7 linked regions of the Sus scrofa genome follow. The protein of the gene in region 5 interacts with the protein of the main gene of each other region in a pairwise test. Links are inferred from orthologs where the notes say so. Each region holds a gene or a part of one and is shown on either strand. Other genes may lie near its edges. The genes, in order: UBXN2A, VAMP2, FAM104A, UBXN4, VCP, FAF2 and RPL9.

Evidence for each region.
Region 1: the proteins of VCP (region 5) and UBXN2A interact in binary tests that used the Homo sapiens proteins (3 or more experiments, as listed by UniProt). The link is inferred for Sus scrofa from reciprocal best matches to the Homo sapiens genes VCP and UBXN2A.
Region 2: the proteins of VCP (region 5) and VAMP2 interact in binary tests that used the Homo sapiens proteins (3 or more experiments, as listed by UniProt). The link is inferred for Sus scrofa from reciprocal best matches to the Homo sapiens genes VCP and VAMP2.
Region 3: the proteins of VCP (region 5) and FAM104A interact in binary tests that used the Homo sapiens proteins (3 or more experiments, as listed by UniProt). The link is inferred for Sus scrofa from reciprocal best matches to the Homo sapiens genes VCP and VCF1.
Region 4: the proteins of VCP (region 5) and UBXN4 interact in binary tests that used the Homo sapiens proteins (3 or more experiments, as listed by UniProt). The link is inferred for Sus scrofa from reciprocal best matches to the Homo sapiens genes VCP and UBXN4.
Region 6: the proteins of VCP (region 5) and FAF2 interact in binary tests that used the Homo sapiens proteins (3 or more experiments, as listed by UniProt). The link is inferred for Sus scrofa from reciprocal best matches to the Homo sapiens genes VCP and FAF2.
Region 7: the proteins of VCP (region 5) and RPL9 interact in binary tests that used the Homo sapiens proteins (3 or more experiments, as listed by UniProt). The two-hybrid records come from large-scale screens. The link is inferred for Sus scrofa from reciprocal best matches to the Homo sapiens genes VCP and RPL9.

The regions. Positions count from the first base shown.
Region 1 is NC_010445.4:114,686,686-114,690,185, reverse strand, and holds part of UBXN2A (UBX domain-containing protein 2A), read left to right. Parts: intron 1-2,896; coding exon 2,897-3,034; intron 3,035-3,500. UniProt on the Homo sapiens protein: Acts to repress the ubiquitination and subsequent endoplasmic reticulum-associated degradation of CHRNA3 by the STUB1-VCP-UBXN2A complex in cortical neurons.
Region 2 is NC_010454.4:53,379,444-53,383,527, reverse strand, and holds the start of VAMP2 (vesicle-associated membrane protein 2), read left to right. Parts: upstream 1-1,284; 5' UTR 1,285-1,425; coding exon 1,426-1,427; intron 1,428-1,935; coding exon 1,936-2,056; intron 2,057-2,514; coding exon 2,515-2,673; intron 2,674-2,753; coding exon 2,754-2,805; intron 2,806-3,416; coding exon 3,417-3,433; 3' UTR 3,434-4,084. UniProt on the Homo sapiens protein: Involved in the targeting and/or fusion of transport vesicles to their target membrane. Major SNARE protein of synaptic vesicles which mediates fusion of synaptic vesicles to release neurotransmitters.
Region 3 is NC_010454.4:7,730,741-7,734,240, reverse strand, and holds part of FAM104A (protein FAM104A), read right to left. Parts: intron 1,142-3,500; coding exon 1,042-1,141; intron 1-1,041.
Region 4 is NC_010457.5:16,203,712-16,207,999, forward strand, and holds the start of UBXN4 (UBX domain-containing protein 4), read right to left. Parts: upstream 2,801-4,288; 5' UTR 2,497-2,800; coding exon 2,415-2,496; exon of another isoform or gene 1,862-2,414; intron 1-1,861. UniProt on the Homo sapiens protein: Involved in endoplasmic reticulum-associated protein degradation (ERAD). Acts as a platform to recruit both UBQLN1 and VCP to the ER during ERAD.
Region 5 is NC_010443.5:235,866,913-235,871,042, forward strand, and holds the start of VCP (transitional endoplasmic reticulum ATPase), read right to left. Parts: upstream 2,801-4,130; 5' UTR 2,524-2,800; coding exon of another isoform or gene 2,507-2,523; intron 2,301-2,506; exon of another isoform or gene 1,934-2,300; intron 1-1,933. UniProt on the Homo sapiens protein: Necessary for the fragmentation of Golgi stacks during mitosis and for their reassembly after mitosis. Involved in the formation of the transitional endoplasmic reticulum (tER).
Region 6 is NC_010444.4:81,416,273-81,419,772, forward strand, and holds part of FAF2 (FAS-associated factor 2), read right to left. Parts: intron 2,632-3,500; coding exon 2,546-2,631; intron 2,451-2,545; coding exon 2,359-2,450; intron 1-2,358. UniProt on the Homo sapiens protein: Plays an important role in endoplasmic reticulum-associated degradation (ERAD) that mediates ubiquitin-dependent degradation of misfolded endoplasmic reticulum proteins.
Region 7 is NC_010450.4:30,696,390-30,700,673, forward strand, and holds the start of RPL9 (60S ribosomal protein L9), read right to left. Parts: upstream 2,801-4,284; 5' UTR 2,778-2,800; exon of another isoform or gene 2,712-2,777; intron 2,329-2,711; 5' UTR 2,328-2,328; coding exon 2,282-2,327; intron 2,192-2,281; coding exon 2,076-2,191; intron 1,088-2,075; coding exon 992-1,087; intron 1-991. Other genes in the region: LIAS (lipoyl synthase, mitochondrial), read left to right, coding at 3,059-3,169, 4,055-4,227.

The sequences.
Region 1 (3,500 bases), on a different chromosome or scaffold from region 5:
CTTTATCTTGAACACAGGAATATATCTACATATTATTTTATCACAATGATGACCCATAATTTTTATATATATATTTAGTTGTTGACAATTTGATTATTTCTTGTTTCCCTCTATAAAAAGATATCTGTAGTTCCCATTGTGTCTCAGCAGCTTAAGGACCCAGTGTTGTCTCCATGAGGGTGGAGATTCAATCCCTGACCTCATTCAGCAGGTTAAGGAGCTAATGTTGCCACAGGTTGTGGTGTAGGCCTGTGGCTGCAGCTCCTATTTGGCGTTTTTGGTTTTGGGGGGGTTCTTTGGGGGTTTTTTTGTTTTTCGTCTTTTTGTTTTTTCTAGGGCTGCACCCACGGCATATGGAGGTTCCCAGGTTAGGGGTCTAATGGGAGCTATATCCACTGGGCTACATCAAAGCCACAGCAATGCGGAATCTGAGCCGTGTCTGCAACCTGTACCACAGCTCACAGCAACACCAGATCCTTAACCCACTGAGTGGGGCCAGGGGTCGAACGTGCATCCTCAAGTATACTAGTCAGGTTCGTAACCACTGAGCCACAATAGGAACTCCTTTAACAGTTCTTTTCTCCATTTTATTGCCGAACTGTGTTGTGTTGTATGGATATACCACATTTAGTTTACTCATTTATCAGCAGACAGACATTGGATTACTTCCACATCTTGGCTGTTACGAATAATGTTGCTATGAACATTTGTGTCCAGACATTTTTGTACGGACATATGTTTTCAGTTCTCTCAGTTCTAGAAATACAAGTGCTATTAACTGTTGTTAGTGTATGTTTGTTGGGGGAAGTTGGGGTTTTTTGTTTGTTTTCATTTTTGGCCGCCCAGAGGCATATGGAGTTCCTGAATCATGGATCAGATCCAAGCCACACTGCAGCTTCAGCTGTTGCACTGCAGCTGTGGCAACACTGGATCCTTAAACCTGCATTGTAGAGCTGCGGAGACTGCTGATCCTGTTGCCCCACAGTGGGAACTCCATTTTTTTGCTTATCTTTAAAATTGGGTTCTTTACCTTGTTGAGTTGTAAAAGTTTTATCTTCTTGGAGTTCCCATCATGGCTCAGTGGTTAATGAATCCAACTAGTATCCACGAGGATGCGGATTCAATCCCTGCCCTTGCTCAGTGGGTTAAGGATCCAGGATTGCCATGAGCTGTGGTGTAGGTCGCAGGTGCGGCGGATCCTGCTGTTGCTGTGGCTGTGGTGTGGGCCATCAGCTATAGCTCCAATTCGACCCCTAGCCTGGGAACCTCCATATGCCATGGGTGTGGACCTAAAAAGACAAAAGAAAAAGAGTTTTATTTTCTTAATGATGTCCTTTGAAGCACAAAAGGTTTTACTTTGATGAAGTCTGATTTATCCTTTTTTTTTCTTTTATTACTTTTGCCTGTGGTGTTCTATCTAAGAAATCATCACTTAATTCAGGGTGCTGAACACAACTCCTGTGTTTTCCTATATTGTTTTGAAAGTTTGACCAGTATCTCCAAGTATTCTTTCAAGATAGATTGCTAGAAAGAAAATTAATGAATAAAAGACATCAATGTTCTTTCAGCTATTGATGCTCATGTTCATGCTTCTGCTTTACTAAAAAGACATACTGAATTAAATTTAGGAGTTCCCGTGGTGGCGCAGTGGTTAACGAATCCGACTAGGACCGTGAGGTTGCGGGTTCAATCCCTGGCCTTGCTCAGTGGGTTAACAATCCGGCGTTGCCATGAGCTGTGGTATAGGTTGCAGACGCGGCTCGGATCCTGTGCTGCTGTGGCTCCGGCATAGGCTGGCGGCTGCAGCTCCGATTCAACCCCTAGCCTGGGAACCTCCATATGCCGCAGCAGCGGCCCAAGAAATGCAAAAAGACAAATAAATAAATAAAAATAAATAATTAAGTTTATATCCCATAGCACTGTCCTTAGCATGTGATTTCATGTATGACATCAATGTAATGGTACAAAGCACTTATTTTGGTCAATCCTTATTTCAGAAGAGTTGATAGTAGTCTATGCCTAACCAACTTTCAGTGTGTACATAAAACATAGGTCTGTATATATGTATATGTACAATGTATGTATAGATTTTTAATTGCTTTATGTTATTTTATTTTTATTTTTTGTCTTTTTAGGGACACACCTGAGGCATATGGAAGTTCTCAGGCTAGGGGTCCAAACAGAGCTATAGCTGCTGGCCTGTGCCACTGCCACAGTAATACCAGATTTGAGCAGTGTCTGTGATCTGCACTACAGCTCACAGCAACTCTGGATCCTCAACCCACTGAGCAATGCCAGGGATCAAACCTGTATCCTCATGGATATTAGTCAGATTCATTACCAGTGAGCCATAGTGAGAACTCTTGGTTTGCTTTAAAAACAAACAAAAAAAAGCAATAGGAGTTCCCGCTGTGGCGCAGCAGAAACGAATCTGACTAGGAACCATGAGGTTTTGGGTTCGATCTCCGGCCTTGCTCAGTGGGTTGAGGATCCGGTGTTGCTGTGAGCTGTGGTGTAGGTCTCAGACACGGCTCGGATCCCGAGTTGCTGTGGCTCTGGCTGGGCAGGCAGCTATAGCTCCAATCAGACCCCTAGCCAGGGAACCTCCCTATGCTGTGGAACAGACAGCAAGACAAAAAATAAAAAGAAGAAGGCAACAGTTTGCAAAGTACTGAATTGTTTGGACAAAATAATTATGTGGAATTTTGCTATATAAAGAGAGAAAATGTAGGAGACACACCTCAAAGTTTTTTTTAATTGGAGTGAGAATGGAATCATGAGGACTAGCACTGTTTTTTTTTACTGTGACTTTCAGTTCTTGTTGCATATAGGATGTTTTTCAGAGAAAGAAAAGGCTTACTAGGGGCTTTACCATTTTGTTTCCTTACTTTCCAAGGGAATTACCTTTAGAATTACAAGGAGTTTTTGATAAAGAGGAGGTGGATGTTAGAGTTGAAGATAAGAAAAATGAAGTGTGTATGTCAACGAAGCCTGTGTTCCAGCCCTTCTCAGGACAGGGTCACAGACTGGGAAGGTGAGTAGGCTCATGCTGTGAGCTTTCCATAAGCAGGGGCTTGACTCAGTAATATTCAGCCAGTCATTATTTTCCCATGTAGACCACATATATAGAATTTATCATTTCACTCGTTGGAAATGAGATTTTTCATGTTAACTTCTATGAAAATTTCCAAGTCACATTCATCTTAGTATAAATTAATACATGCTGGCACTAGACTAAAAAAACCATGGCAATTCTTTTGGTTTTTATCAGTTCAAAGGGGCCTGGCTTATTGAGGACTTTGGGCAAAACTGGGTGGATAAATCATTTTTTTCCCTTGCACCCACCACTTCAGCTTTGCTATTTATGTTACAGAGTGCATAGGCTAGCTTTTGAATATTGAGTTCCGTGTTAGAGTTACCAGTGCCTTCAACATTATGCTTTCTGATCTGTATCTGAATTTTGAGGAGATAAAAATAAAGAAATGCGTGATAAAATTAGT
Region 2 (4,084 bases), on a different chromosome or scaffold from region 5:
CTCCCCCACACAGCTGGGAAATGACACCTCTGGTGACAGAGCCTGGCCCAGGCTTCTGCTGGGAGGGGGTGGGGTGCTGCATGGGGGAGGTTGTCACACCCGGAGGCCCTGGGAGGCCTGGGTGGGGGAGGGAGGAAGCCAGCTCCTGTTTGTCTCAGAGACCAAGGCCACCAGCCCCCTCTGCCCACTTCCAGGGTTGCAGTGAGCACCCTCGCTCCAGGGCCACTAGCCACCCCCCCCCCAAGGTACCACCTTCTTTACTCTTTAGGCTGATCTGACCTACCCCACAGGACAGGCAGCTCACCTGTTCTCAGCCTGTCCTCTCTGAGGGGACCAGTCCTGCTGAGAATGAGCAGAGGGGGTGTGTGAACTGCTGGGTCTGTTTGGAGGATCTAAACAGAGACAAGTCAGGGATGGAAGGGGCCGGGGATAATCTCCTACCATGTCCCGGATCAAGCCATTTAACAAATACCCCTGTAGTGTCTAGTATGTAATCTATTTGGGGTCCAGAGACAGGCAAAGGGCTATCCAAGGTCACTCCCAGGAGGCAGGGACTGCCTTTGCCTCCTTACTGTCCTGCCCCCCCAGGGAAAAAACAAAACGTAAAAGCTAAAGTTCTGTCCTTTCGCCTGGGGTCAGAGGCTGAGCCCTCCCGCTGCAGGGTAGCTGATCCAACTCTGGGTCAGAGCCAGGTTTGGGCCAGTCTGCAGGCGCACCTGAAGCAGCGCCACGGGGCAGCCTCTTGCCTTCCTCCTAGGCCCCTAAGCTTGCCTCTTGTCGGTCAGGCCCAGGCTGCCAAGGACCCCTGGTCTGAACCCCAGCTGTGAGGAGAGAGTTCCTTGTCCCAGACCTCCTTTGAGATCTCCACCTGCGGGCAAGCTTTGGGGACCAGCTGCCACCACTCCACCTCAGCCGCGGGGTCTCGCCTGTCTGCATCGCCCCGGAACCTGCACGTGACCCTTCTGATTTCCCATCTCCCGCCCGTATCTGAAATGCCGAAGACCGGTCAACAGGCGTTGGGACCGTGGGGGCGGGCTGAGACCTGGGTCGGGGTGGGGTGCGGACGGGTCTCACGGAGGAGGTGTTTGGGGCCGAGGGGTGCCATCAGGGCCGGGCCATGGGTGTGGGTAGGCCGCGGCCCCCAGGCTCGGGCCGTGGAGGGAGAGGCCGGGGGCCCCGCCTCGCGGGCCCCGCCGCGGGCGGGCTGCGCTCCCCGCGCCCCGCCCCCACGCCCCGCCCCCGCGGCCCGGCTGCCGCCGAGTGGCCCGCGGCGCCCCGCCCCCGCCCGCAGTGCCCGGATGTGGGTGACGTGCGGCCGCCATCTTCCCGTCCCGGGCAGCCAGCGCCAGTCGGAGCCAGCGCGAGCCGCCGCCGCCGCCACCGCCACCCCTGCTGCTGCCAAGTCCTCCGCCCGCTGCCCCCGCCATGTGAGTCGGCCGCCTGCGCCCGCCCCGGCTGCCCGCGCCGGCCGCCGCCCCTGCGTCCGAGCCTGGGAAGGGCTCGGGGTCCAGCCCGCGCCCCCCGCGCGCCCGGAGGCCAGGCCGGCGCCCGTGACGGCGCGCGGGCAGCCGGAGAGCCCCGGGTCCCCGGCCGGCCGCGCGGGCGCTGGCGCCGGAGGGAGCAGACGCAGGGTCCGCCCGCCCCGCCCCTGTCATCGCTGCCGCCTTTCATTGCGGGTCCCCCCGACCGTGGCTGTGAGGTCGCCCTCATTTGACAGGCGGGGAAACTGAGGCCCGGAGGGGGGAGGGGGCCTCCCTCAAGGTCACGCGGCCGCTTGCCCGCGGGGCCGGGCGAAGGCCATGGCTCCCTTCGGGTGGCTCTCCTCCCGAGAAGGAGGAAGGGGGGCACGGATGGATGGACAGACGGATGGGCGGAGCCCTCGCTGCGGGGCCGAGGGCTCCAGGGCCTGGATCTTAATCCGTCGGTGCCCCTCAGGTCGGCAACCGCTGCGACCGCACCCCCCGCCGCCCCAGCTGGGGAGGGAGGCCCCCCCGCGCCCCCTCCAAACCTCACCAGTAACAGGAGACTGCAGCAGACCCAGGCCCAGGTGGATGAGGTGAGTTGTGGGGGGGGCAGAGGCAGTGGGAACGACCCTGAGGATGGCAAAGCGGTCTGGGGGTCCATCGTGGGTTGAGGGTGATGGCAGTTCACGTTTTCGCGTTCGGAGACAAAAACATACCAAGCCGCGTTCCTGACGTCGTGTAATTGGGAGGGCCGTGGGGTGTTAGCCTTGCTGGCCTGCGCCGTTTCACCCTGGGCGGGTGTGCTCTCGTGACCCGCAGGCTGCTTGAGGCTCGGTAAATAGAGGGTGCTGCTGTGATATGAGATGTCTGGCCACCAGCATGCCTCTGACGTGTGCTCCTTGCATGTCCCCAGGTGTGCTGGGCATGCTCCGCATATGTTGTTGCATGTCAGCCAGACAGCCCTAGGGTGCATGTCTCGTACGTGGGCTCCTGGCTGAGGAGAGCCCTTTGAGATGGGTCTCCCCCCCCCATCCCCGCGCCCTTCCCGCAGGTGGTGGACATTATGAGGGTGAACGTGGACAAGGTCCTGGAGCGGGACCAGAAGCTGTCGGAACTGGACGACCGCGCCGACGCACTCCAGGCGGGGGCCTCCCAGTTTGAAACAAGTGCAGCCAAGCTCAAGCGCAAATATTGGTGGAAAAACCTCAAGGTAAGGGTGGAGGCCGGAGGAGTGGTGGGTGGCCGGGAGTGTCCCCGCCTGTCTCCCTGACCGGCCCTTCTCGCCCCCAGATGATGATCATCTTGGGAGTGATTTGCGCCATCATCCTCATCATCATCATTGGTGAGTCGGGCGGGAGTGGCCGGGCCCCTTTGTTGGAGAGGTTTCCCCCCTGACGTCTGGGTTTTGAAGGTCATTAACCTCGTTTTTACTATTCAGCAAAGAGCACACAGAGCTGCCAATAGCAGTTCTGATTCATCTAGCACCCCAAACCTCAATGTTGTTGAGCTTGTACTTTGCCTGGTTCTGGGCAATTTCTGGTAAGATTTTTGGAAACCGGAAAGCCGGTGGAGATCTCCACTGCTCCCTTGAGGACCCTTTGGGTTTGTCCAGTATGGGAACCCTGGAATTGGGGTGTGGGGGAGCAGCGAAGACTCAGGGGCTTGAGAAATGGCTAGGAAGCCAACCACCCTATTGGTTGAGAGCTGTGGTCTCAGAGGCTCCGAGGATTCGGGGTCTGTGGCCCCAAAGCCATACCGTGACGTTGAGGAGACCTTGAAGCTGACCTGTGCAGCTTCCTTGCTTTACAGATGGAGGATCTGAGACCAGGAGGGGAAGGGACGGTCAGCCAGCTGGGAGGTGGGGAAGGTGGGAGCAGGGCCGGGCCTGACACGCTGCTTTCTCTCTTTCTCTTTCTTTCTCCCCTCTTCTTCCTTCTCTTTCCCTCTCTGCAGTTTACTTCAGCTCTTAAACCCCTGAGGAGCCTGCCCTGCCCAGAGAAGGGCCTCTCCCCCCCATCCCCAGCCGCTCCTCCACCTCTCAGCCATATCTTCCAGCCCCCTCCTCCCCCGGGATCCGCGTGTGTGTGTCGTGTGTGTGCCCCCTTGTAAATAGCCAGCTGTTATTTATACATATATAATATTATATATATTTGGTCTGTTTGTAGTTTTATTACTAGAAGATTTTTCCGGTTGTCCTTAACACCCCTTCCTGAGGTTCCCATCGCCTCCTTTTGCCCCTCCTCTCCTCTCCTTTCCCTCTCTTCCTCACCGGCCCCAACTCCCTTCATTTGCATCTGCTATGCAATAGTCCCTCTTCCTCCCCTCCTTCCCTTGGATTTAGCTGATCCTTCCTCCCGCCCTGGTCTTCCCCATACACCCCCTCACCCCACCCCACCCCCCGACAAAAAAAAAAAAAAGAAAAGCAGCTGTCCAGGACTCCCTAGGTGCATCTTCTTTGCATCATTGGGAGGCTCTGAGACTGGTCCCTTTTGGTCCTAAGAATCCCAAGGTCTTCTGGGAGCTTCCAGCATGTTAATTAGCATCATTTGCATACTGACATCCCTTTTGGTTTCCTTTTTTTCTCCATCAGGCTTCTGTTCATTCTTTCAACTTGTGTTTCT
Region 3 (3,500 bases), on a different chromosome or scaffold from region 5:
AGGGAGTTAACTTTGGATTTCTGGTAAAGACTTGATATAGGTCAAATCCTATTACTGAAAACTAAATAAAATACACAGTGTTTTGGTTGTGCAAGAATTATGACCTATCACCTATGGAATTCTGCTTTAAGTGATGAGGCCAGGGCTCAGGAATCCTTGCCATTGCGGAGTTTCTCTCTTAGGGCAACAGCGCTAAGGGTCAGGTCTTAGGCACATAATCTAACAGCATATCCTTCAATGTCAGCTGCCCTTCCCATTGCAGACCAATGTTCAGTGCACAGGAGGCAACCTGCAGCACCCAGGAAACCGGCGTTCAGGGGCTCTTCCCCCATGCCCTCTCCACTCCGCCTCCCGCACAGAACACATAATGCGAACAAAAACACAAAAGCATTCAGAATATATAATGTACATGTATATTGAATATGTATACATTATATATTCTGAATGCTTAGACAGTTTCTCTTAAAATCATGGAAAGCATACCTTTAAGAGACATAAAAGCAGCAAAATACACTTGTCTTTTAAAAAAAATCGACATCTTGAAGAATCATTTTATTTTTTTGGTCACACCCACAAGCACACAGAATTCTGGGACCAGGGATTGAAGCTCTGCCACAACAGTGACCATAGCCACAGAAGTGACAATGCTGGATCCTTAACTAGCTGGGCCACCAGAGAACTCCAAAACACACTTGGCTTTAGGGCAATTAATGGTTCATAAACTAAAAGAAAATCAGCCGGCTTCTGAAATGCCAAGTAGGGGTTCAAAGATGGGCTTTCAAAGGTCCATAAAACTTGTAACATACACATTTTGGAGTGTGTATGTATGAATATGTACAGACAGCCATTTAGCTGGGGAGAGGGTGTGTGGCTTTCTCAAAAAGGCCATGACTCCAAAAAAAAAAAAAAAAGGTTGAAAACACTGCAGTCAAGTGAGATCACTTTCCTTTATTCAAAGAAAAATTTTAATTACACAGAAGTAACTGAGTTATTTTAGTTCAAACAATGAAAACAGCAGAGACTCTTGGCCACACTTCCTACCTCTGTGTCCCAGGAATCGTGAAAGACAGCGTTTCTACTACTCCTTTTGGTCTGCGGGGGGAGGTGGTGGTCTTCCTCACTGCCATTCCTTCTCCTTTTCCTGAAATTAAATCACAGGGAGGACAAAAAAATACAACAGCTGGTCCCTTGGCCCCTTCAAACTGGAAAACCTGACAACAAATAAATTTGCACTCTTGCCTGAAAAAAAGATAAATCATCATGTGATAACCCAGTAGGTAAAAAAACTGGCAGGATGCCATCACTGGGCACAAAGAGCAAAAGTATAAAATAGCAGCAGTAAGACTGAGCTTATATGAGTCCAACTAATTTCTGAAAAGGAGCCTGACAATTTTAAATACCTACTGGGAATAAATAAGAGGAGGGAGACACTGATGACTAAGCTTTCAATCTAATTAAGGTTATCTTTTCCCACATTTCCTGAAATTACAATTCTAAGTTACCTAATTTTACTCCCGTCGATATGACAACATCTAAGGTGGGAGTGACTGCCTTTGCCTGTATCTGTATAAAAATGGTGCTACACAGGAATAAAATAGCATTAGAGGTCCATGGTAGCTTCTAATCTTTAATTTTCTTTCATCCCTAATTCTTCCCCAATTATCAGGTTGACACACAAGCCCTATGCCCTCTAACGTATTAAATGGCTTCTCTAGACAATCACTGGAAAGGCTGCTCTTGGACCCATTAACTTGATTATTTGGGCTACACCCCGGTATTATGATATAAATTATTTCTCCCTGTTGTTACTTTGAGATTTTAACACCAGCTGTTTAAAATGTTCAGGTTTAAAGAAAAATAGCACATCTTTCTCAATCAAGTGTTCTAAGATGTACAATAAAGACAAAGTTTGTTTTCCATGCAAGAACCATGTGTTGTCAGGCCTTCGAAATCCCAGTTAGAAAAGAGAAATAACTGAAAGGAGGTCAGTGAGATGGCATGGAACTGCGCTGTCCGATGGGGTAGCTGCTCATATATTGTTCACTTAAAGTGAAATCAAAGGAAATTCAATGAAATGTAAAATCCAGTTCTTTAATCACTCTGGCCACCTTTTCAATGCTCAGTGGCCACACGGAGCTAGTGGCAACTATACTGGACAGCAGAGATATAGACTGCTCCTGTCACTGCAGAAAATTCTATTAGACAGTGCTGGCTAGAGGCCAAATTTATACAAAGCAGCATAATCTATTATAATGAAAACTCTTCAAGGTTCAAGTATCTATAACTGGAGGGGGAAAGAGCGTTCTGGAAAGTACTGAATTTGAACATCTAGTATCTTCTATACAGTTTTATTTCTATGTGAGTAGCTAAAGCTTTGAGTTGAGGTCTGGACATTGGAGAAAACTTAAGTTAACAACCCCAAGCTCAATCCTGTGTACTCCACAACACTCAATACACCTAACTTTACTCATTAATGAGTATGGAGCCAGCTTAGACTTGGAATGGTCTAATGGGTGTGCGGAGGACCTGTAGAGCAGTAACCCACCGGCAGAGGGCTGCACCATTCACCCCATCCTAAGGCTCAGCTCAGCTGTAAAATAAGATCACCACTTCTGCTCCCTACTTTCCTCCCAGGAGATTAGATCTTATCTTGAAGTTCCTGGAGGTTAAAAAACTAGATGAATATCAGGTTTTAATAATCATTAAATGTATGTGCTAATGACATAGATTTGAACCAAGAAATTGTTACTTTCATTTTAATATGACCAGAGAACTTTCATTGGAATGTGCTGCAGTTCCAGAACAATGTCTGATGTAAAGCCAGTTGACACGAAAGAGAAACTCATCAAATGACAATATGTGTGTCCCCAAACTCCTCTTTTATCGATGTGCCAACAGATGACTGTGCTTTGGGCTGCTGCGTCTAACTAAATATATAAGCCTGTCCTCAGCTGTCCAATTTCCACATTTATAATGAGGGATGAAATATACCTTTCTAGTGACAAGACTATAACTGTCAAGACGATGGCCTGGTTTTCAAGACTTCGATTAAACTCTGGGACTGTCACATGAAATATCCCTGCCTAATAATCAGTTGATTTCTCAAGGTACCAGAACGATCTCTTTGGCCTCTTGGAAGTCCTCCCCTTTGGAGGAGGTACCGCATTAAGAATAAGCCCTAACCTGTTCTTCTTTCTCCTTTTTCTAGGCTCTTTGCAGACTTCATCCTTAAAACATTCTTCTATCAACAAATTGGTGGAGTTCCCGTCGTGGCGCAGTGGTTAACGAATCCGACTAGGAACCACGAGGTTGCGGGTTCGGTCCCTGCCCTTGCTCAGTGGGTTAACGATCTGGCGTTGCTGTGAGCTGTGGTGTAAGTTGCAGACGTGGCTCGGATCCCGTGTTGCTGTGGCTCTGGCGTAGGCCGGTGGCTACAGCTCCGATTCGACCCCTAGCCTGGGAACCTCCATATGCCGCGGGAGCGGCCCAAGAAATGGCAA
Region 4 (4,288 bases), on a different chromosome or scaffold from region 5:
CCAAGGGTCTTTCTGCAAATGTTCAACAGTCATTAAAGCAATTGGGAATTAGTCATTATTAACTCATATATATATGTATATATATATACACACACACACACACACAAAACCCCAAAGACCTATAACTATATTTCTATTGTAATAATTAGGACTACTATTTACAAATGGGTGTCCAAATTTCCACTAATTAAATCTACTATTTCTTCTTTCAAATTAACTGGTTAACCTGGAGTTCCCATGGCTCAGGGGAAACAAATCTGACTAGCATCCATGAGGATGCAGGTTCAATCCCTGGCCTTGGTCAGTGGGTTAAGGATCCGGCATTGCCGTGAGCTGTGGTGTAGGTCGAAGGTGCGGATCAGACCTGACGCTGCTGTGGTGTAGGCCAGCAGCTACAGTTCCAATTCGACCCCTAGCCTGGGAACTTCCATATGCCACGGTGCAGCCCTAAAAAAAAGTAAAAACAAACAAACAAACAAAACTGGTTAACCCAAAAGTGCCTCCTAGGAACATTTGGACACCATCAAATGTGTTTTTCAGAGTTCCCATCTCCCTCAGTGGAAACTAATCTGACAAGCATCCATGAGGACACAGGTTTGATCCTTGGCCTTGCTCAGTGCATTAAGGATCTGGTGTTGCTGTGAGCTGTGGGGTAGTTTGCAGATGCAGCTCGGATCTGCAGTTGCTGTGGCTATGGTGTAGGCCAGCAGCTGTAGCTTAGATTTGACCCCTAGCCTGGGAACCTCCATATGCTTCGGGTGCAGCCCCAAAATAGACCCCCCAAAAAAGCGTTTTTCACTTAAAAATATGACTACTATAATCCTAGGTTTCCTGATTTGTACACTAATTTCATTAACTACCTAGAGTCTACAACTGTTCGGTTTTTTCTTTCAGAAACAAAAAAGATACTCTTTTTTTGAAGTTGCTAAAAAATAAAATCTGTCAAAAGATATAAATTCTTTTTCTGACCCTCTTACATATCACTTTACTGTGAATATATTTCCTTGTCTATAAAATAGGTATAATCTTGTTCCACCAACTGCAAGGATCAATTGAGATTATATGGGAAAACACAACATAAAATGTCACAAAACGTAACTGTTCTCTTAAAGCATACTAAGTATCATTTAATTTTCCTTTTCCTATTTATCCACTTAATTCCTTATACGTTTATGACATTTATGTGAAATACAACACTAACACAGGATAATAGTGTAAGTTCCCTGGTGGACTAGAGGGTAAGGATCTGGCATTGTCACACTGTGGTCTGGCAGGGGTTTGACCCCTGGCCCTGGAACTTTCACATGCCACAAGCGCCGCCAAAAACAAACAAAAACAGCATAAGAGAATCTAAACTACCCAAGTTCTTCTAATTAATAGCACTGCACTAAAATTTTAGCAGAATTTAAAACAATCTGAAATTCCAACTTTAATGTTAAGTGAAACTCACGTTTCAGCAACTTCGTCTTCACTGTAGTGCATAAAGCTATAGGGCTATTATCTATTTTCCCAAGTCATGAGTTAATAATGACCAAACTGCTATTAAACACAAATAGTTGAAATAATACACCTCGAATTAACGGTAGTCACAAACACTGACTTGGTTTACATAATGAGGATCAACAAAACCACAGAAGCATCTGTTTACTGAAAAATAGAAGATTTCAGTAATAAATCCCAGAGCAACTTAGGATAAATGAGTCAGTACACCTGAAACTGCAGCTATGAAACTAGGAAGACAACAAAGATAGCCAAAGCCTCTGTATCTACTTCTTCTAAACAAATGGTTAAAATAAGAAAAAGATTAGATTCTCCACCCCACCCCCCATAACATTGTTTAAAAAGTCAAACCTATAGAGACCTGAAAAGTTTGCGTCTCAGGAACGTGACATCAGGTGGTTTCTCTTTGTGGATTACCTATGACACAGCTTTCTTCCTGGCAGTCCACAACTAGTTACAAACTGCCTGCCTGGCTAATGGCCTGTCTCTCCCCGCACCTCAACACTAATGACAGCGGCTTTAAAGTTTCCCGAAGCGGGTCCTCGGAGACAGAAATCTCCAACGGGGGCGGTGGGGGTCTGTGAGCAACAACTCCGCAGGCGGCCCGGAGTAAGGCTCGGCGGGGAGCTGCGGGGCAGGGCGGGCGAGGGCCTGCTCCGCTCTTCCCCTCGCCCCGCACAGAGAGGTGACGGCGGGGCTAGGCGCGCTCTCCGGACAAGGCCGGGAGAAGCCGGTGGTGGGGGCAAAGCCCGGTGAGCTCCAAACGGACGGGGGAGGCGCTGAGAAGCCAGTCAGCACCGACAGGCCGGGCCCCTCAGCACGAGGACGAAAGGCAGGGGGCTTCTGGGGTTGGACGTAGGCCGGGGCGGGGTGGGGAATGACCCGGCCACATCTCGGGCCCTCGCCTCTTTCACCTGCCACGAACACCACGAAGACCGCGCCGCTCCTCTTGGCTGATGCGATGGCGGCCGGAATGGCGCCCTGAAACCACAGCATCGTTGCCCTCGGGCCCTATCGCTCGTTTGGTGTGTTGTCGCCGCGGTCCCGGAGCTGACCCCGCCCTCTCCGTCCTCGGGCCCCGCGGCCTCCGCAGCCGCAGCTGGTCCGCCCCCCGCCTCCGGCCCCGCACAGGCGCGCAAGCCGGTCAGAGGCCCTCTGGGACGCGCGCAAGCGCGCAGACGAGGAGCGCCCCGCGACACGTGACACCACACGTCGCCGTCGTCTAGGCACCCCGGTGACTTGTCTTGTTGGCAAGTCGGTGGGTGCGCTATCCTACAAGGCCGCAGGCCCGGCAGTCCCGGAAGTGGACGGAGGTAGTAGGAAGGATGACTAGTAGCTAAGGCGCGTCGGCGGCGCCTTCCTAAGGCATGATGGGAATTGTAGGCTTCTTAGGCTAGGTCCCTTTAACTCTGTGGAAAATATAACTGGTTTCTCGCGCACCGCTAAAGGGGCGGTAGTGAGTCACTTCACAATCTATAAAGAGGAGAAGTAGTGCTTCTCGCCGAGAGATGCCATTCTTGGCTTTATTGAGACCTTGAAAGTGGAGGAAATCGTCCCCGCCCTGAGTGGAACCCTGCCTTTGGGACGATGTAATTCTGTATTACTATTAGTGACCATTGTGAGATAGCGTGGGTGTCTCTGGGTAAGGGACTAAGTGGGCTTTGTGGGGATTCACGACAAGGCTTTGATTTCTTTTGATCTTAATTTATCAGCTCAACCTTGAAGAAAAGAACCTTTTGTAATACCATACAGAGTGTGGTACAGGGGAGGTATTGGTTCGATGCAGACCTTGAGTAATTTCCTAGTCATTGGTTAGAGATCGTTTCAAACCTCATAACACTTAGCTATGCTGTTGCCACAGTTGCTTTCTACAGTAAGTTGAAGCCAGAGAATAGATAATGATTTATTTTCCAGCTACTTTTCATTGTACTACAAAAGAAGAATTTTGTTTATGACAATATGTGATAATGTATTATAATCAAGATATGGCACTTTCTGGTAGGTTGTCATTAAAATGAAAACCGATCCATATTTAATACTTTCATGAAAGTATATGGTCTCTAATAACTATTGGCTAAAGGCATGTATGGTTTATTTACAGTTGCATACGCTCTTATATTGTACATTCTACATGACTTAAATTTCTTCTCCAGCAGTACAACCATTTGACAATCTTTGCAGGGCTAAGGAGGGGCTACATCCGAAAATACCCATTTTCTACAAATATTTAACCTAAAAATAGCTAACATTCCAATTTTTATTTACTTTTTTCCAACCAGGCCTCACATATAGTGTTATTATAAACAAACATAATGCTGATTATAGACAGTAATCTTACAGATAGTTGCTGCTTATATAGGACACTGTTGCTCAGGAAGAGTTAGAGTTGATCTTTAACATCAACTTTAAATGGATTCCTTAAAATTCGATTAATGTATATACCCTTGCAGTGGAACGATTAATTATTCCTAGTGTTAGAATTAAATATTAGGAGAGTTCCTGCTGTGGCTCAGCAGTAACAAACCTGACTAGTATCCATGAGGGTGTGGATTTGATCCCTGGGGCTCACTCAGTGAGTTAAGGATCCCATGTTGTCTTGAGCTGTGATGTAGGTCCCAGACATGGCTCGGATCCCATGTTGCTGTGGCTGTGGTGTAGGCCAGCAGCTACAGCTCTGATTCAACTCCTAGCCTGGAAACTTCCATATGCTATGGGTGGGGCCCTAAAAAGACAAAAAAAAAAAAAAAAAAAAAAAAAAAAAAGAGAGAGAGAGAAGAATCATTCATAG
Region 5 (4,130 bases):
ACATGGGGCAAATCAAAATCCTCTCACCCAAATGAAGGTTGCCTAAGTCTGAACTCAGTTTACATTGTCTAAACAGGAGTTCCCTTATAGCACAGAGGGTTAAGGATCTGGTGTTGTCACTGCAGTGGTCTGGGTCACTGCTATGGCACAGGTTTGAACCCTGGCCTGTCCACATGCCAAAAGCACAGCCAAAATAAATAAATAAAATTTGTCTAAATGGTTTTTATCATTTCCTAGAAGCTAAGATCACTCTCCTGACACCTATTTCTCACTTGCCTCATCTCCAACCTTCATAACGAGTCACAGAGGGCTCTCCTTTTGAAGAGCTACCTTTTCTTAGTAGGGCTCAGGAAAACTTGCGCATTAACCAAAAGGAGGCGAGCCAATGGATGATGTAAAGAAATAATAAATAAAAAAGAGACCATTCCACTCAAAAAATTAACAAGTATATGTACATGTCAGGCACTGTTCTAGGATCTGGGGATTTTCAGTCAACAAAACAAGACAAAACAGTATTTCTATTGGAAATATTGCAAGAAAAAAAAGATGCCTATGCTTTAAAATACCAGGTAAGAAATTATGAGGCATTTACATCTTTTGGTCTTGATACACTCAAAAGAAATACAAATCCCATTCACCTAAAAAAAAATTGTAACCTTTCTGCTGACCTTCTCACATAGGTTGCCCCTTTACTCATTTGCTTTAAACTAGTTTCCAAAAGTGGCATTTCCTCAGCTTAAACTTGCCTCCCCAGCGCAAAAGTGTTAGGCACAATGCTGCAGAGTAGGCATACTCTTCCAATGCTTATCAACAAACACCCTGGAGAGCAAACATGGTCAATGTGAGAGTCGAGGGCAATTTAAATCCATCCATTCTCCCTCTCCTCCATGCATCAAAATACCCTCTAAGGGCTGTCCATCTTCCAGTTGGATGTATAGGATTAGGGTTAGAGAAATAAAATACCAGTTGCCTCTGGTCATCAGAGTTTGTATTCTAACCCCAAAGCTGTATTCTAGGAAAACCTCCAATCTGCCTACCACTCCTGAGCCCAGCACTGGAGATGACTGATATGTTCTGCCCTTAAAGTAAAGACCTTTAATTCTACATCTGTCCCCTGAGATCGAAAGAGGTAACCTCTAAACAAGGGAAGTCAGCTTGATCATGGGCTGACAACAGTCCTGGAGGCTCTTTGGGGACCTTCCTCTGGTTTCCTGCATGAGTCAAGGCCCTCTTCCAGGACCCCAGTGGGCCACAGGGGGCGTGGACAGAGTTCAGTTAAGAGTCATCAAGATGACCTAGAGATAAACTGTCTATGATGCCAGGTTCTAAGAATTTTCGACTTTTAGTACTGGAAACTAAAGAGGGTACTTTAAGTATTAATAAGCAGCCCTTTTCAATAGGCGCCTCAGTAATAAATACTTCACCTCGGTTCAGAAACTTGAAAAAAAGGAACACCTCAAAAAACTGAACTTTCAAGTCTGGAAGGTGCTTTGCATAGAAGAGTTTCCATAGGATGGCAGTGTTCTCCTCCCCCACCCCAACTCCCCCAGTATCTAAAGCTCTTGATTCTAAAATGGGCAGAGGTAGCCAGGTTTTATCTGATGCTTTCCTGAGGAATAGAGAGCTCAGGATTTCTCCACATAGGTAAAAGGCTGTGTGTGTTTGAGAAGTTAGGGCAACTCTAACCTTCACACCACAAAAGGCTGAAATCTAGAAAGGCCCACAAAATACGAACTGAGATTCGAATTTTAGCAAGAACCTAATGAACCCCACTTCCTAACATTATTGAAAACTGACTATAGCCTTCCCATATGAATAAAACAGGAATAATAAAGTATGAAGAAGGCCAGATGGGAAAGGCAGGGCCCGCCCTCTCGGTAACAGCCTCTCACTACTCAGGTCGTAGAGGATGCCAACCACGGGCCAGACCCACCCGGATCCAAAAGGGCCGTCGGGAGCTCCCCTGAGCTCGCCCGGCCTTGCACTGCTCCGGCCTCCTCCTCGGTCTCGGTCTCCCGGCTCCTAAGGCCTTCACGTGGCTCAAAGTCCACGCCCACCGGGCCCAGTTAGGGCGTCAGGCCCAAGTGGCCTGCACTCTCCGGGGACCAAAGGCCTACAACGGGTGGCAGACTGGATCGCAGGTGGACACCCCAAGGCCCCGGGGCTCCGTGCCGGCAGCGTGGGCCCTCAGACCTCACTAGGACAGGACAGCCGTTCGAGAGGAGCCAATCAGGCCGCCCCGGGCCTGCATGACACAGCACGATCCGGCCCAGGCCCCGACCCAGGCCCAAAGCAAGCCCCGCCTAGGGGGCGCACGGGTGCGCGGCCGGGCCCAGCGGGGTCCGCGGCTCCTCATTCGCCCCCTTCCTCTCCTTCCGTCTCCCTCCTTCCCTGTCTCCACCTCCTAGACGCGCCCACAAGCAGGCCTGGCCGGGCCTACCCAACGCAGGGGATCTCCCAGTGCGCGCACTCGCAGCGGGAGGACGGGGGGCGCGCACACACTCACTCAGCTCCGGAGGCCATGGCGCGCGCTTCTCCCGGCCAACGGCTGTGGCGGCCCGCAGGTAACGGCTACGAAGGGTGGCAGGCGACCGACTCGGCCGGTGCTCGGCTCTCCCGGGCGGAGGGTGAGCGGCAACGACAAACCCGCAGACGGCCTCCCTTTCGCTTCCTCCCAGAGGCACCAGGGCGGTAAGCGGGCGGGGGACGCTAGCGCCTGATCCGCGAGGGGGCAGCGGCAGCGACAACTCAAACGACGGCTGCAGACGCTTTGCGAAGACTGAGGCGAGAAGAGCCGAATCATCGGAAGGAGAGGTGCTCACAACTCAGCCAATCAGCGCCTGCCCTGGGTACTCCCGCCCGCCTCTCCGTGCCTCCTCTCCCCAGCAACCCGCGGACCAGAGCCAATCAGGAAATTCGCTTGCGGCCCGGCTCCCGCCTCAGGGATGCAACACGCCTAGTAACGCCACGTCAATTGGCCGCAACGCTACGCTTCCTCGACGGATTGGGACTCTCGACCAATCAACGAAAGGAATGGGGCCAGATCGACTGGCGAAAGGAGAGCCTTTAACCCTGGGAGGCTGACTCTCCCACTTGGCTCCAGTTCATTGGCTCCTGAGTTTATCCGGCTAGAAGAACCTGGCACAATGGATTGAACCCTTGTATTAGTCTAGTCCTTTTGTAGTGATAACCCACACACCCATTTTCTTCCAAAACCTGAGTATGCACTCTAACCCCTCTCCTTGCTCCTTCAAAACGCTGGCTCCAGCCACCTCTACTCCGGACTCTTTGGCTAGCATTCCAGCTCTTAATCCACTCTTCCCTGTTGTCATTACACCCTCTGGTAATCCTAATCCCACAAGCTTTATAGTTCCGCAGGGCTTGGAGGTATGTGCTCCTTCTTACCATTGGGTATTAATATTAATAGCTATGCAAAGGACACTCAATTCCGAAGAGGAATCAAAAGACAACCACAGGTAGTTCTCTTGTGGCTCCGCAGGTTAAATGACCCACGTTATAACTGCAGGGGCCTGGGTCACTGCAGTGGCAGAGGTTCGATCCCCGGACCAGGAACTTCCGCATGCCTACCATGGGCGAGGCCAAAAAAAAAAAAAAAAGGAAAAAAAAATAGCAACCGCAGAACACAAACAGATTCAATAGAGCCTAAAGCAGAAGAAAAAAAAAAAAAAAACATTGCTGAGACTTGATGACCTTGGACCCAAAATGCCAGCTTGCCCTGACTATATTCAACAGGCAGCTTTGGTGGTATGGTGACTTAATTCATCCTTTACCCTCTAACCATAGAGACACATTTGACTAAGACCATCGAATCCCAAATTTGGATTAGGGAGGGGGTGAGGTGTCATTCTAACAGACTCAGAGGTCTGCTTGTCCCTTCCTTCTAAGAATCACCTTCCAGACCTACCTAACTCCACTCATTCTGTCGCCTCACCTAGGATCCTGGGTTTGCAGGGGTACTCGCCTTTTTGGCAAGAAGGACTAAAGGCACTGATTCCTGAGTAAGGATTCCTGTAGCCCTTTCTCCTGAGGATCATAAGATAGATGATATTGGGAGAGGGCATCTTAGACAACCCGCACTCAGCTGAATCAGCCAGCTGTGAGCCTTCCCA
Region 6 (3,500 bases), on a different chromosome or scaffold from region 5:
ACCCACTGCACCACAAGAAAACGCCCCTCCTAGTTTCTTAATCTTTGTGTTGTTATACACTTGTGACCCTATTTCCCAGGTAATCTGATTAAAGTAGGATAGGCTTTTCTGGTTGAGTGTAGCTGTCATGATGATGCTGGGGCAGGCCACAGAGTTTAAGAACAATATCTGTTTGATGAAAGGAAAAGGACCTACAAAGACTCCGGCTACTGCTTAGTATAATTTTTCCCCGTGTCAGGGGTCAAGCCCACAAGTCTCAGTCTTATGCTACTGATGATGATCTCTACCATCATCTTCTGTCTTTTCTTCATCTTTTTTCTTTTCTTCTTATCCAATCCCTTCCTTACTTCTTTTTCCTAAGTCCCACCCACCCTCCCCAATAAGAAGGGGTTAGCTTTTCTGTTACAGAGGAGTTTTAAAAATTGGTCTTCCAAATAACAAAGATTTTACCATAACAGAGTTTTGCCTATGTTTTTTATAACAGTTTGAAAGAAGAGATTTTTAAGCTTCTATAAAAATCTATAAAAGGAGTTCCCGTTGTGGCACAGTGGAAACAAACCCAACCAGTATCCACAACGATGCAGATTAAATCCCTGGCCTCGCTCAGTGGGTTGGGGATCTGGCACTGCCATGAGCCATGGTGTAGGCTGCAGACACCACTTGGATCTGGTGTTGCTATGGCTGTGGCATAGGCCAGCAGCTGCAGCTCCGATATGACCCCTAGACCGGGAACTTCCATATGCCGCAGGTGTGGCCCTAAAAAAGGGCAAAAAACAAAAAACAAAACATAAAAAAAAAACCCACTATCAAAACCTCCTTCTATCCACCACCGCTCACTCCCAAAAATCATATTAGAATGGCAAAACATACTGCAGGATCTTATCTGATGTTTAAAAACCAACTAGGAGAGTTCTGTGCTGGCTCAGTGGTGAAGCATCCGGTGTTGCCACTACTGAGGCAGAGGTTCAAACCCTGGCCCAGGAACTTTCACATGCCATGGGGTCGGTCAAAAAAAAAAAAAGTCAATTAAAAAAACAATTAAGAGTAAAGATTCAGATTCTAGGATGTAGACAAAACATTTGCTGCATCTTTAGTCCTCAGCATCTAGCGCAATGCCTGATATGCTAGTATAGACTCAAAAAGTTGCTGAGGAGTTCATGCCATGGCACAGTGGGTTAAGAATCCGACTGCAGGGAGTTCCTGTTGAGGCACAGAGGAAATAATCCGACCAAGAACCATGAGGTTTCAGGTTTGGTCCCTGGCCTCATTCAGCAGGTTAAGGATCCGGCATTGCCGTAAGCTATGGTTTAGTTCGAAGATGCAGCTCGGATCCTGGGTTGCTGTGGCTGTGGTGCAGGCTGGCAGCTACAGCTCTGATTTGACCCCTAGCCTGGGAACTTCCATATGCTGCAGGTGGGGATATATATAAAAAAAGAAGTTGCTGCAAAGCAAGTACATTTTCCTTCACTGAATGCCTTTATGTCTTATACTGACTTCTAAAGATATTCACCTCCAGTTAAAAGTTAAAGTCAGCAAAGATCTGAGGTTTCTGAATCCCTATCAGCACTCAACAACAAACTCATTGTCCAAGAAGCTCTGTTAAAATTGCTGATAGAGTTTCCGCTGTGATGCAATGGGATGAGTGGTGTCTTGGGAGTGCTGGGACACAGGTTTGATCTCTGGCCCGGCACCAAAGGGTTAAGGATCTGGTGATGCTGCAGCTGCAGCTTAGGTTGTAACTGTGGCCTGGATCTGATCCCTGGCCCAGGAACTCCATATGCTACGGGGCGGCCAAAAATGGGAAAAAAAAAATGCTGATGAAAGAATAAACTCTTTAGTAAAAAGCCTATTAGGAGTAAAGGCAAGTTGGAATTCCCTGGTGGCTCAGCAGGTTAAGGATACAGCATTATCACTGCTGTGGTGTGACCACAATGGGTTAAGGATCTGGTGTTGTCACAGCTGCAGCTTAGGTTGTGACTATGGCTTGGATCTAATCTCTGGCCCAGGAACTTCCCAATGCTGTGAGCAGAGCCAAGAACAACCGCCACCACCACAAATACCAACCAAACAGGCTGTGGCAATAGTTACCTGTAATGGATGGGCTAGAGTTTGACATGTCTGAGCTTGCTCCAAACTTGCGAATAACTGTGTGATAAAATCGTGGGCCAGTGACTTACACTGCCTGATACTGTTTCCTAAACCATAACGTGGAGATAATACGATCCCCGTCTCCCAGGATTGCTGAGAGGATCTGTAGCAACTCTGCCACAGAATATTCATGCAATAGATGGCATGTCTTTCCAGATTACTCCAAAGATAGCCCAAACATCTCAATGGGGCAAAAGAAACACGACTTACCCCTGTATCCCTCAGGTTTGTTTGTGGAGCATGCCCAGAAGAGCATTCTCGTGTTTATTAGTGAAATAACTTCAGGTGCACATAGTGTGTTGCTGTGGAAAGGGATGAAAGGGACATGAGAAGAACTTGCTTACTACAAACTATCAGCAGATAAGATGAGAAAAGAGAAAAAAAAAATTCCACCTACCGACAGAACTCATCAGAGTCCTGGTGATCATCTCCATGAAGATAAACCAAAAGAAAGCGGAGTTCCCGTTTGGCATCATTAAGTGCCTGTGAGAAAAAGAAGATTACTAATTATTATAACTGACTTGAACTTTTAATTAGGTTAAGGGTCCTAATGGATACAGCTACGTATTTAGGAAGAAAAGAAATGAAGGAAAAAGCTAAGCAAGGAAACCAGAAAATTGCCAGGCTCCTACCTCACACCCTTGGTATTTCTCCCCCTTTAAAGTTCATGCTAACAAGCTTCGATGAAAAGGTTTTAGTATTGTTAAGATTTAAATTATATCAGGCACATAAAAGTAGACAGGCTGACAGAAAAAGTCTCCCCTGGAAAAAAAAAAAAAAATCACAGAAAAGTCAGCTCTTCCCATAGCCTAAAGGAAGATAAAAACAGGATACTCTGACCTGAAAAGGCAGATGAGAATTTTGCCACTTTCTGGCTATAATATCTTAGTAAAAAAAAACAAACAAAAAAACCTGCAAAGACAAGCCTGATCCCTGGCTACGTACCAAGTAGGGATGAGGGACTGACGCATCCTAAAGAGCGTGGGGTTTAAAAGATCTTCAAAGACAAGGCTAGTGTCCAAGATTCCTGTGTATGATTTTACATTTGCCAAATCCCAAGCTCATTACAAATCAATTAAGATTTCCTGACTGACCAATGGTGGTCTGCTCTCAGGATCACAGAAAGAGGGGTATGAGAGGTGCCCACCTCATTCACATATGTATCTCTAGCACTGAGCACAACATGTGGCATACAGTATGTGCTTAATGCTTGTTCAGTGGGGTGGGAGCAGCCAGTGAGAAAAAGCTGATATGGGAGAATGACAGCAGGAAGCAAAAGTAAGCAATTTTCTCCTTCTCCAGATAGACCCAGGAATCCTGGAGGCTGCAGAACAGAACGATCTTACACCTGG
Region 7 (4,284 bases), on a different chromosome or scaffold from region 5:
TCCCATCATTGTCATTTTTTTAAACTATCACCCACACCAAAGCTTCACAGCAATTTTATTTATTTTTTGCTTTTTATGGCTGCACCTGCCAGTCTACACCACAGCCACAGCAACGCCAGATCCTTAACCCACTGAGCAAGGCCAGGGATAGAACCCACATCCTCATGGACACTAGTTCGGTCTGTAACTGCTGAATCACAAAGGGAACTCCCTCAGAACAATTTTAAATACATTTGTTTCTGTCTCCTCAATGGACTGCAAAGCTCCTAAGGAAGCAGATATTTTACTACCTCCTTTGCCCGTGGTGAACAATGCTAGCCTCCTATTAAAGTATAACTCTAAAGCCCTTCATCTTGGGCATTAGGCTAACATACTGAATTACTATGGTATGCCAGAGGGCCAGAATTGAGAATATCAAGACACCACCGCCGCCCCCCGCAAACAAAGACTGGAAACACAAGGGGAGACATGGCCTGAAAGGCTTATAATGGAGTTGCGTACAGGGTGCCGCTATCAGATTGCGCTCTAGAAAGGCTGAAACAGAAACACTCCAGCAAATATCCAGAATCAACTTTACCTTAAAGACTGAAAGCTCAGAAATAAGACTTAATCTTTCCCTAATTCCCACAAGATACCCTGGTGGTGAGAGGCATAAGACAAGAAACCAACCATTCTATGTGTTAACATTTTCTATTAAAAACCCCCCTGAAATTGTGAATGTTATCTTTCGGGTAAAACAAATATATATATAATCAGCGTATTATCAAGACCATCTGGTCTAGACTTATGTATCTCCCTTTATCATAAGACCCAGGAATACCTAACACATTTGCCAAGATCACCTTTTCCAAAATACTACAGCCGCTAAGTTATATGCAAGTATAAGTTACTCGCACAAAGTATTTTCTACAATAGACATTTATGTTGCATACATAAAGATAGCTGACAAACCTCCCCCTTCTAAGACAAGAAGTCTGATTAATCTGCTTACCAGTGTAACACCCTTGATCATATTCTGTACATGACTACAGATGGTGCGAACAGTTGCCAGTTCCTTTCTATTTCCCCACCATTTGTCAACCCGGAGCTGTAACAGAACAAAAACTTCAGAAAATTCTTTCCAGTATTAAGTAGCCTTGAAATAAGGTCCATTTATCCACAGTAATTACTCTAGATTCTAGTATTTGTCCTAATTACAAAAAAAAAAAGCAACCACAAAGCCCTCAGCAATTAACGGTTTTTGTTACTATACATTAGAAGTATACACTTTCACAGAGGAACAACCCAGAAAGTTTTGTACAAGTTGCATCAAACTTCACTTCTGGAAAGCTAAAATACCAGGTTCAAAAGAACTCTGCTGCACCACTATGATCCTTACAAAACAATCAAGAAAAATAAACCCAATTTCTAACAGTATTAAGGCCTGCTATTTAATAAATATTACCAGTACTGAGGTTTATAACCCAGTTTACTTTGGTTTTCCAATTTCACTAAAGCACCGACAACAAAAAAAAAAACTAGTTACAATTTTGGACACTAAATTATAAGATAAAACATTGAACCTCAATTCCATAATTTCTCAAAAGTTTTTATTTCTTCTATTATGGTTGACTTACAACATTCCATCAACTTCTGCTTTAAAGTCACTCATTCATACATATAAATATTCATTCCTTTTCTCACATTATCCTCCTTCATGTTCCATCACAAGTGACTGTAGTTCCCTATGCTGTACAGCAGGATCTCATTGCTTATCCACTCCAAATGCAATGTTTGCATCTACTAACCCCAAACTCCCAGTCCATCCCACTCCCTCCGCCTAGACTAGAACAGACTAGAACCAATAGTCTGTTCCCCAAGTCCAAGAGTTTCTTTTCTGTAGGTAAATTCTTTGGTGCTGTTAGACTCCAGAGAAAAAATTATCCATCAAATGGTATGTCTTTCTCTAACGTACCTCACTTGGTATGAGTCTCTATTCCATCCATGTTGCTGCTCAATTCTGTAGTTTTTAAAACAACTTGATATTCTTAAATTACAACTTTCCAAACAAACTGAGGTGATTAAACAAAACTCACCCTCTTCTTTTTCTTTCCAAGGAGACTGAGTTCTACATTGATGTGGTTGAAGTCCCTCCTCAGAGTGCCTCTGGGGCCCTTCACAATGACTGTGCGTCCTTTTAGTGTGATGTCGACTATGAAAGAAACATACTCGTGAGGCATCGAAACAAATTAGAACGCACGCAGTAAAAACATATGAAAAAAGCAAGCACCAAGTCTCCTACCATTTTCTGGAATGTCGACAGTCTGATTGCTGAGAATGGTCTTCATTCTGAAACACAAACACTTGGGTAAGAAGGTCGCACAGGATTTGTTTTGGGCCGAACTACCTTGCACAGAACTCCACTCCTACCAGAGACCGGCAGGCAAAAATCTCGGGGAGGATACAGAGGACTAATCCCGGAAACGGCCCCAGCTGCGCCTTGGCTTGGAAGGAGCAGCTCCTAAACAGTTATTAAAAACCCAGCGGGCGAACTCCCGGTCAGCGCAGCTCTGGGAAGTCCTATCAAGTCGGCGCCATCCCGGCAAGGCTGAAGGGCGGCAGTAGGCCTAAAAGCCCAATACAAGGCTCGAACCCCATCGCCACCAGACTCATATGACGCTCGCCGCGCAGGGAGACAAACAAGACACGGTTTCCGAGGGCCACACCCGCACCTCTGGCTTTCCCAAAGCCGATGCCTTCAGATTCCCAAGGCCCACCGAATACAGAATCCACCTTACCTCGCAGTAGATGCGGCAAAGAGAGAGCGTCTTTCGTCATCACGCTTTTGTAGTACGTAAGGGTCCTGCGTATGGCGTCATAAGCGCGCGACACCACGAGGCTAAAGCAGCCAATCGTAGAGCAGCGCAGGTTCCACCGGGTCAGTGTTGGCTCAGGTTGTTTGTCATAAGTGGAGCGACGGTGTGTCCTTCTCTTTTCCCGGGAATTAGTGATTGTTCCTCCCTGCCAGAAAAAAAAAGTGCAGGATGGCTCTACGCTGCCGGGGCGCCGTCCGCACTGTATGCCCCCGGGTGAGCGGCGGGGCGAAAAGGGAGCGGGCGTGGGGTGGGGGTTCCCATCCCTGAAAGTGCCCGATAATGCCAGCGCTTACCCGGCGTTTACTTCTAGCCAGGTACTGTTCTAAACATTTTTCGTATAGCGTCTCATTTAATTCTGACATGGTCATGAAGTTAAGACCTGATACTGGTTTTTTTGTAAGTCTGTGGCCCGCGCTCTGAGACCTTTTTTCCTGCTATCAATGCAATGATTTGTACTCTTGTATTTATTGGAGCACTATAGAAGCGCTGCAATGAAACTCCAAATTACTACTTGGTGTTGGTGTCTCCTGTGTACTAGACACCACTTTGGGCGATTAAAACCCAAGTCTGTGCTCCAGGCTTGAGCGAGAGACCTGGGCAAGTACAGTAGCTATCGTGCAGCATCCTAATAGGCACTCTTTTTTTTTTTTTTTTTTTTTTTTAATAGTTGAAGGTTCTTTTGCTTTAACAGTACTACCTCTTGAATTTTATGGTGTTTTGTCTGTCTTGTACATGTATGTGTTCAAATCTAGAAACCGATGGCTTCTTATGGTCAACAAATACATGAGTGACTTCCTTGTTCACACACAGTATAACCAAGAAAATTAAAACATTAGGTTTAGTTTCCCTTCTTCCACTTCTCTGAAATCAGCTGAGAACTACCTCCGTGTTTTAGCAGGTATTCTTATTCAAGCCCAAAGCAGAGAGATTAATTTCAAATTTCATTTAAACATACTTGACTCAAGTCAGGAATAGAAAATTCAAAGCTGTAGCTCCCATTCTCCTTTGGGTTTGGTTTGTTCTCCTTGGGTCATCTTTAATTTCAGATTCTGAGCTCCTTACATTGAGCTCGTAAATAGATTAACATAATTTCTGAATCAGTTCTGTGGCTTTACCCATCCTTTTAGGTATTAAACGAGTTTAATACTAAGTTATTCCAAAGCCCCCTAAATAAATGTCACAATGAACTCTTTCTGTAGGTATTTGGAAGATATTTATGCAGTCCAGTCAGAGCAATAAGTTCCTTGCCAGATAAAAAAAAGGAATTTTTACAGAATGGACCAGACCTTCAAGATTTTCTATCTGGTGATCTTGCAGACAAGAGCACCTGGGATGACTATAAAGGAAACCTAAAACGCCAGAAAGGAGAAAGGTAATTGAAATTTTGAGGTAATTTTAATGTCCTATTCCTTCATTGTGCATTATTTTC